2 linked regions of the Oryctolagus cuniculus genome follow. The protein of the gene in region 1 binds, or shares a complex with, the protein of each later gene. Links are inferred from orthologs where the notes say so. Each region holds a gene or a part of one and is shown on either strand. Other genes may lie near its edges. The genes, in order: NOD2 and PKN1.

The links.
Region 2: NOD2 (region 1) and PKN1 share a complex: the UniProt entries of both Homo sapiens proteins name them as parts of the signaling complex. The link is inferred for Oryctolagus cuniculus from reciprocal best matches to the Homo sapiens genes NOD2 and PKN1.

What each region holds. Positions count from the first base shown.
Region 1 is NC_091449.1:34,247,875-34,251,679, reverse strand, and holds part of NOD2 (nucleotide-binding oligomerization domain-containing protein 2), read right to left. Parts: intron 3,632-3,805; 5' UTR 3,624-3,631; coding exon 3,165-3,623; intron 1-3,164. UniProt on the Homo sapiens protein: Pattern recognition receptor (PRR) that detects bacterial peptidoglycan fragments and other danger signals and plays an important role in gastrointestinal immunity.
Region 2 is NC_091447.1:63,110,141-63,113,925, forward strand, and holds the end of PKN1 (serine/threonine-protein kinase N1), read left to right. Parts: coding exon 1-61; intron 62-139; coding exon 140-215; intron 216-320; coding exon 321-412; intron 413-1,087; coding exon 1,088-1,264; intron 1,265-1,463; coding exon 1,464-1,526; intron 1,527-1,676; coding exon 1,677-1,753; intron 1,754-1,846; coding exon 1,847-1,989; intron 1,990-2,275; coding exon 2,276-2,383; intron 2,384-2,462; coding exon 2,463-2,543; intron 2,544-3,001; coding exon 3,002-3,205; 3' UTR 3,206-3,285; downstream 3,286-3,785. UniProt on the Homo sapiens protein: PKC-related serine/threonine-protein kinase involved in various processes such as regulation of the intermediate filaments of the actin cytoskeleton, cell migration, tumor cell invasion and transcription regulation.

The sequences.
Region 1 (3,805 bases):
CCCCGTATTTCCCCAGACTCATTCACAACCCCATTCACCAACTTCCCACAGGGGCCCTTATAGCCTCCCAGGGAGGGGGAAGCCAGACCATGACCCTGAGACTGTCTGGCTTCTCTGCCCCGAAAACTTTTATCCAACAAAGAGCAACTGGCCCTTGCCTTACGCAGCTATGTTTGGCTTGCTACTCAGTTTTTCAAAATAAAAATAATCTATTGTTTGGGAATTTATTTTGAAATAAATAGTGCTAAAATTATGTTAAGGCAAAAAATGATGAACATTCCTTTGGATAATGGATACCTGTGCTAATGTTACTTGGAAAAGGGCCTGGGTAAGAGTGGCATTCTATCTCTCACCCTGGGTTATGGGAGTCTGTTTATGTCATATCTATAAAATGTGCACACTTTCTGTAGGCATTTCCTACAGTTCCCAGTGAATAAGTGTTTAAGTTATTATTGTGGTAGGAGCCAAGCAACTCCAGGCTCAGTCTGACACCTCAGCCCATCAACTTCAGCAGGTGTATGAGTCAGATGGGCAGCTGGTCTCACAGCTGCTGTTGTCAGCCTCAGGTTGCCTAATCACTGCTACACCCAACTGAACAAGTTTGCCACACCAAGCTGCCACATATTATGATGGAGAGGAGCACAGGCTTTGGAGAAAAACAGGCCTGGCTTCAAATTCTAACTGGATTGCCTCCCAGAGACATGATTTGGGCAGTTTCTTCTTCTTTTTTAATCTGAAAGGCCAACAGGGCCATCTCCCATCCACTGGTTCATTCCCCAAATGCCCACAGTGGCCAGGAGTAGGCCAGGCCGAAGCCAGGAGCCTGGAACTCAATCCAGTTCTCCCACTGGAGTGGCAGGGACCCAACAACTTGAATCATCAAATTCTGCCTCCCAGGATGCATATTAGCAGGAATCTAGACTCAGGAGTGGAGGTATGACGCAAACCTGGGCACCCCAACACAGGACACAAGCTTTCCAAATGGTGTCTTAATTAACCCTATGCCAAACATACACCCTAGACTTAGTTCTTTATCTGCATTTTGTTTTATTCCATAGCATTTTTCTATCCTCAACCCGAAATCAATGACAGCCATCTCTCTACAGGAAACTAAAATATCCAAATGTTAGTTGGACACAACGCAAGTGCCACCCACAGTCCATCAGAAGTTCAGCCACTGAGAGAAGTCCATGACATCAGCGAATCACAGACTGTCAGAGCTCAAAGGCAGGGCAGAGAGAATTAGATTCTGAAAACATAAGCATCAGGCAGAGCGGCTCCTGTGAAATCCACAGTCTTCAGATCTAGGGCCCACTGCCCCTTCCACTCACTCAGCTCAGTCTCCACATTCAGTATTGGTTATGGTTGTCTTCTTAGACTTTTCCTAAAATAATTTTAACCCTTTAAAATTCGGCCTTTCTCCTTTCCAAATCTGAGCTTAAATGGTTATAAATCATAACCTTAAATGGTTATAAATTTCCCTCTATGTCCTGCCCTAGCTGCAATCCTGTAGAATTTGATAATAATATTCTCACTGTTGTTTGGTTCTGAATATGTTCTAATTTCCATTATGATTTCTTTTTTGGCTCATTTTTTTTTCTTTTTTTTTTCTTTTTTATTTTTTGACAGGCAGAGTGGACAGTGAGAGAGAGAGACAGAGAGAAAGGTCTTCCTTTGCCGTTGGTTCACCCTCCAATGGCCGGCGCGGCCGGCGCGCTGCGGCCGGCGCACCGCGCTGATCCGATGGCAGGAGCCAGGAGCCAGGTGCTTTTCCTGGTCTCCCATGGGGTGCAGGGCCCAAGCACCTGGGCCATCCTCCACTGCACTCCCTGGCCACAGCAGAGAGCTGGCCTGGAAGAGGGGCAACCGGGACAGAATCCGGCGCCCCAACCGGGACTAGAACCCGGTGTGCCGGCGCCGCTAGGCGGAGGATTAGCCTAGTGAGCCGCGGCGCTGGCCTGGCTCATTTTTTTATTCACTAATCCAAATACTTCTTCTATTCATGTCGTGCCTCCTATGGTCCCAAGAAATCTAGGCTTCCTTCTACAAACCCCTCAGAGCTTTGGGACCAGACTACACCGTCAAACACTTGATCAAAGATGACAAGACAGAAGCTTATGACTTCTCAGGTGCATTGATTTTGGCCCCCAACAGGTCATATAAGACACCAAAGTAGGTACGATGACCCATATGTCTTCTGTAATCTCCTTGGAGGTGGTGCTCAAGGTATAACTGCAGGCTCTGTGTGCACTGCGTTTGGGGTCCACACAGGGTCTGCTCTATAAATACTTGGCCACCATGACCCAGTTTTCAACCACGCTTGAAGACTGATTAGCTTACTTTATCAGTTTCCACCTAGCCTCATCTAAACTTACTAGAACAACAAATATATATATTTAAAAAATAGATGAGAGCAGGACATTGTGGCTTGGCACGTTAAGCCACCACTTGAGTTGCCCATATCCCATATCTGAGAGCTCATTCCGAGTCCCAGCTACTCTGTTTCTTGCTAATGGGTCTTGGAGGTAGCAGATGCTGGACGATATACTTGGGCCCCTGCAACCCACAAGGGAGACCCAGATGGGGTTCCTGACTCCTGGCTTCAGCTTCCCCACCCTAGCTGTTCAGGCATTTGGGGAGTAAACCAGCAGATGGAAGATCTTTGTCTCATTTCTCTCTCTCTCTCTCTCTCTCTCTCTCTCCCCAACCTTCCTCTCCCTCTCTCCTTCCCTCTTTCTCTGCCTTTCAAATAAATAAAAATAAATAAATAAAATTTGTAAAAGACAGCAATCAAAGTGTACAAGCACTGGCAACAGGAATGAGGGAAGTCATGATGATTAACAGGCTGATGATATTAACTATGTGCCAAGCACTCCTCAAAGCAGCACACAAATCAGTTCATTGACTTCTCCCAAAAACCTTCTGCTTCCATAGAGGAGCCTGAAGATGCAGCTCAATGCTGCACCATGCTGGTTGCAGAACGGAAGCCCTTGACCACACCACACTTCTTCTGTCACAAGGTCTATTTCCAACCATCGAGAGCAACGTGCACCTGCCTGCCTTTCTTTTTAGGGGAGGCCACACAGTTACCCCACAGAGCTGATTTCGTAAGGACCAACCACCCTCTCCCCATGACTTTTGCTGACCAGGACAGAGAGCCTTACCCTCTGGGATGACGTGAAGATGGGCAGCCTGATTTCATCACATTCGTACTGGCTGATGAAGCCCTGCTCCAGCGCCAGGTCCAGCACGCCCTCCACGTGGCTGTACAGTCTCCTGACGATGGCTGGCCGGTGACTCTGCAGGTCCTGGGCTGGGTGGAGTGAGTGGGGGTCCCAGCAGCCATGCAGCTCAGGGCACTGGCTGCTGTCCTGGGCCTCCTGGACAGCTGCGATGAGCTTCTGACAGCCCCAAGTGCCTTTATTCCAGACAGTGTCCAGGAGGCGCCTGGCCAAGTGGGACAGAGGCTGGCCCACGAGGCGGAGGCCCTCATAGTCCTCCCAGGAGAGAACTTCCCATGACAGCAGCAAGTCCAGGATGCTCTCGAAGCCCTCCAGGGACCCCGAAACCAGCAGCCCCACCAGCTGGCTCCTCTGTGCCTGGAAAGCCTCTTGAGAGCACATTTCACAACCTGGGGAGAGAGTGTGGTCAGTACAGAACTTCTCCAGGGCACAGGCAGGGGGTGGGGCGCAAGCCAGTCTCACCCCACATCCAACTTGGTCATAGTTCTAACCTCAGACGTTGCCCAATCCAAGATTCCTATCACACCAATGTGTAAATTATGACTCAGAGAAGGCAAGAAAGT
Region 2 (3,785 bases), on another chromosome or scaffold:
CCTCGAGCACTCCCGAGCTGCCTCTGGAGACCCAGGAGACCCCAGGCCCCGCCCTGTGCAGGTGCCAGCCCCGCCCCTGCACCCGGGACACGCCCCAGCCCGCTGCCCCGCCCCCAGCACCCGCGCCCTCTCTCCGCAGCCCCCTGAGGAAGGCGCCCCTGAGCCTCGAGGACTTCAAGTTCCTGGCGGTGCTGGGCCGGGGTCACTTTGGAAAGGTGAGGCAGGCCGTGGGCAGCGGGGCCCCCAGCGCGTCCAGGTCCCACCCCCACCCCCACCCCCGGGTCCCCCGGGTCAGCCACCCGGTACCGCTGTGGTTACAGGTGCTGCTGTCCGAATTCCGGTCCAGCGGGGAGCTGTTCGCCATCAAAGCTTTGAAGAAAGGGGACATCGTGGCCCGGGACGAGGTGGAGAGGTGGGGACCTGCCCTGGCCCTCTGGGGGCATCTGCGTTCTGGGTGACAGCAGGGACAGTGACCCCGTGACAGTCCTCAGCCCCCAGGCAGCCACCGTACATGGTGTCCCCGCGTGGCTCTGCTTCGGGGTCAGGGGCCTGTGTTCAGATCCCACCTCTGCCCGTTGTGCTTGGGGCATCCCCGGGGGTGAGGTAGGGGAAGCCACTTGTCCTGCCTCACCAGGGGTCCCAGAACGACTCTGCCCAGGGCAGAGGCACGCGAGACTTGTCCCAGCCCCCCCCCCCCCCCCCAATGATGGCGAACCCAAGTCAGAAAGGCTTAAAATAAAGGAGTTTATTGGCCCGGATAGGAGAAGGCTTGGAAGGGCGGCCTTCAGGCCTGGCTGCATCCAGGTGCTGGGCAGGGGGCGTTTTTCAGCCCCACCTGCCCTCCAGTGCGTCGGGCCCTCTCTGTCTCACAAGTCCAGTGGACCTCCGGGGCTCGACCCCCGGGGATCTTGAGTCGCCACTGTGCCTGAGCCCAGAGCCCACGGGGGCTTCCCGCACGCCCCCCGCAGCAGCCCCAAGGCTCAGAGGCGTCAAGGCACCTGCCCGAAACTGCACAGCGGAGTGTGTGTGGGGGGTTCGCCCAGCGCCGGGAGGGGCAGCGGGCACTGACGTCCGTCCCCGCCCCCAGCCTCATGTGCGAGAAGCGGATCCTGGCGGCCGTGACCAGCGCCGGCCACCCCTTCCTGGTCAACCTGTTCGGCTGCTTCCAGACGCCCGAGCACGTGTGCTTCGTGCTCGAGTACTCCCCGGGCGGGGACCTCATGCTGCACATCCACAGCGACGTGTTCTCCGAGCCGCGCGCCGCGTGAGCCGAGCCCCGCCCCCGCCCCGCGTCCTCACAGCCGCCTGCGCCCCCCGCCCCGCCCCCGGGCATCCTCACAGCCACTTGCGCCCCTCCACCCCTCCGCCCCCTCGTCCTCACAGCCGCCTGCGCCCCCCCCCCCCCCCCCCGCCCCAGCATCCTCACAGCCGCCCCTCTCTCCCCCGCCCCGCCCCGCCCGCAGCTTTTACTCGGCCTGCGTGGTGCTTGGCCTGCAGTTCCTGCACGAACACAAGATCGTCTACAGGTGAGCGCATGCGCGGCCATGCCCGCCGGGCAGGGTCTGCGTGCACGTGTGTGCTCAGGCCCCTGAGGTTGCCCTCAGTCCCACCGCCGCCCCTGCCCTCCTCACGCCCCGCCCCTCTGCCCCGCCCATCCTCACGCCCCGCCCCCGCAGGGACCTGAAGTTGGACAATTTGCTCCTGGACACCGAGGGCTACGTCAAGATCGCAGACTTTGGGCTCTGCAAGGAGGGTGAGGGGCTGCAGCCGGGGTTTGGGGGCTTTGGGGTCGGTGGGGAGGGGTGGAGTCTGCAGCCCAGCGCCCCTCCCCCATCGCCTCCCCCAGGGATGGGCTACGGGGACCGGACCAGCACTTTCTGTGGGACCCCCGAGTTCCTGGCGCCGGAGGTGCTGACGGACACGTCATACACGCGGGCCGTGGACTGGTGGGGGCTAGGGGTGCTGCTCTACGAGATGCTGGTTGGTGAGGTGAGGACCCCTCCCCTCCCCCACGAAGCTGCTCCCCGGCCCCCGCCAGCCGGGAGCTGGGGGGTCGGGGTCGGGGGTGGGGTAGCTCGGCCTCCCCGGCCTCAGTTTGTGCACCTGACAAATGGGATACTTACCCTGGCGCGCCAGCCGGCACCTCCTCCCCCAGCCCCAGCCACCCAGCGCAGGTGCAGCAGGTGCAGCCGGGGAGGGGGAGGGGTGGTCTGCGCACGCATGCGCGGCTCAGCCCCGCCCGCCGCTGTCCTCCGCCCCCCCCCCCCCGCCCCAGTCCCCATTCCCAGGGGACGACGAAGAAGAGGTGTTCGACAGCATCGTCAACGATGAAGTCCGCTATCCCCGCTTCCTGTCGGCCGAAGCCATCGGCATCATGCGGAGGGTGAGCGGCCCCGGCCCCCGCCCCTGCCGCCGCCCCGGGAGGGCAGACCCTGACCCAGCGCCCCTTCCTCCCCCCCCAGCTGTTGCGGAGGAACCCGGAGCGCCGGCTGGGGTCCAGCGAGCGCGACGCGGAGGATGTCAAAAAGCAGCCGTTTTTCAGGGTGAGGGGCCGCTCTTCCCCCAGACCCCCCCCAGCCTTCGTCATCCTGTCCCCATACCCTCATCTCCCTCCCCTGCAGCCCCCGGACCCTCATGTCCACCCCCTCCTCCCGCCCCCATGCACCTGCGTCTTGCAGCCCCCGGGACCCCCTCACGTCCACCCCCTCCTCCCGCCCCCGTGCACCTGCGCCTTTGTGGTCCTCGCCAGCCCCCCCCCTTCGTGCCCACCCTCTCCTCCCGCCCCCATGCACCTGCGTCTTGCAGCCCCCGGGACCCCCTCACGTCCACCCTCTCCTCCCGCCCCCATGCACCTGCGCCTTGGTGGTCCTGGCCAGGCCACACCCCTGGACCCCTCACGTCCACCCCCTCCTCCCGCCCCCGTGCACCTGTGCCTTGGTGGTCCTCGCCAGCCCCCCCTCCCCGACCCCTTCATGCCCACCCACTCTCTCCCTCCCCGCAGACGCTGGGCTGGGACGCCCTGCTGGCCCGGCGCCTGCCGCCACCCTTCGTGCCCACGCTGGCCGGCCGCACCGACGTCAGCAACTTCGACGAGGAGTTCACGGGCGAGGCCCCCACACTGAGCCCCCCCCGCGACGCGCGGCCCCTCACCGCCGCCGAGCAGGCGGCCTTCCGGGACTTCGACTTTGTGGCTGGGGGCTGCTAGCCGCCCCCCTCTCCTGCCCGCCCCCTGACCCAGGGATCCTAGTTTTTAAAAAGGCCCTTGGGGTTCGCCCCATCCACGCATTGTGCGAGTGTTCTTGTGCGCGCTATTGGGGAGGGAAGCAGGCACGGGTGAGGGGGCGGTGGTCCCCTGGGCTAGCATGGGAGGGGACGGGGCGGTGGGTGGTGGGTTCAAGGCCGTGATGGGGTGGGGTAGGGGCTTGGGGGCTGTGCCAGGGGCTCTCAGGGCCCTAGTGAACAGCATGGTTGCGAGAGTCTTCCACGGAGCCCCCGGAGCCCCCGGAGCCCCAGCCCCAGGGCCGCGGCGGTGCTGTTGTGCACATGCACCTGCGGCTCTGGCTCCCCACCCTGGGGACCCTCCCCCTCGACTGAGGAGCGTCCGGTGTCTCTCCGCCCTCGCGTGGCAAGTCCGGGAACTGCACTCGTCCAATCGGCGCTCGCGGTGCCTCTGCCGCCCCTAGCGGCCAACAGTAGATGCTGCGGCTCCGATGGGACGCTTCATTTACACCCCCGGTAGCTTCATTTACCCTCGCAAAGGTTGGGCGCTTTGCACGTGCCACCCG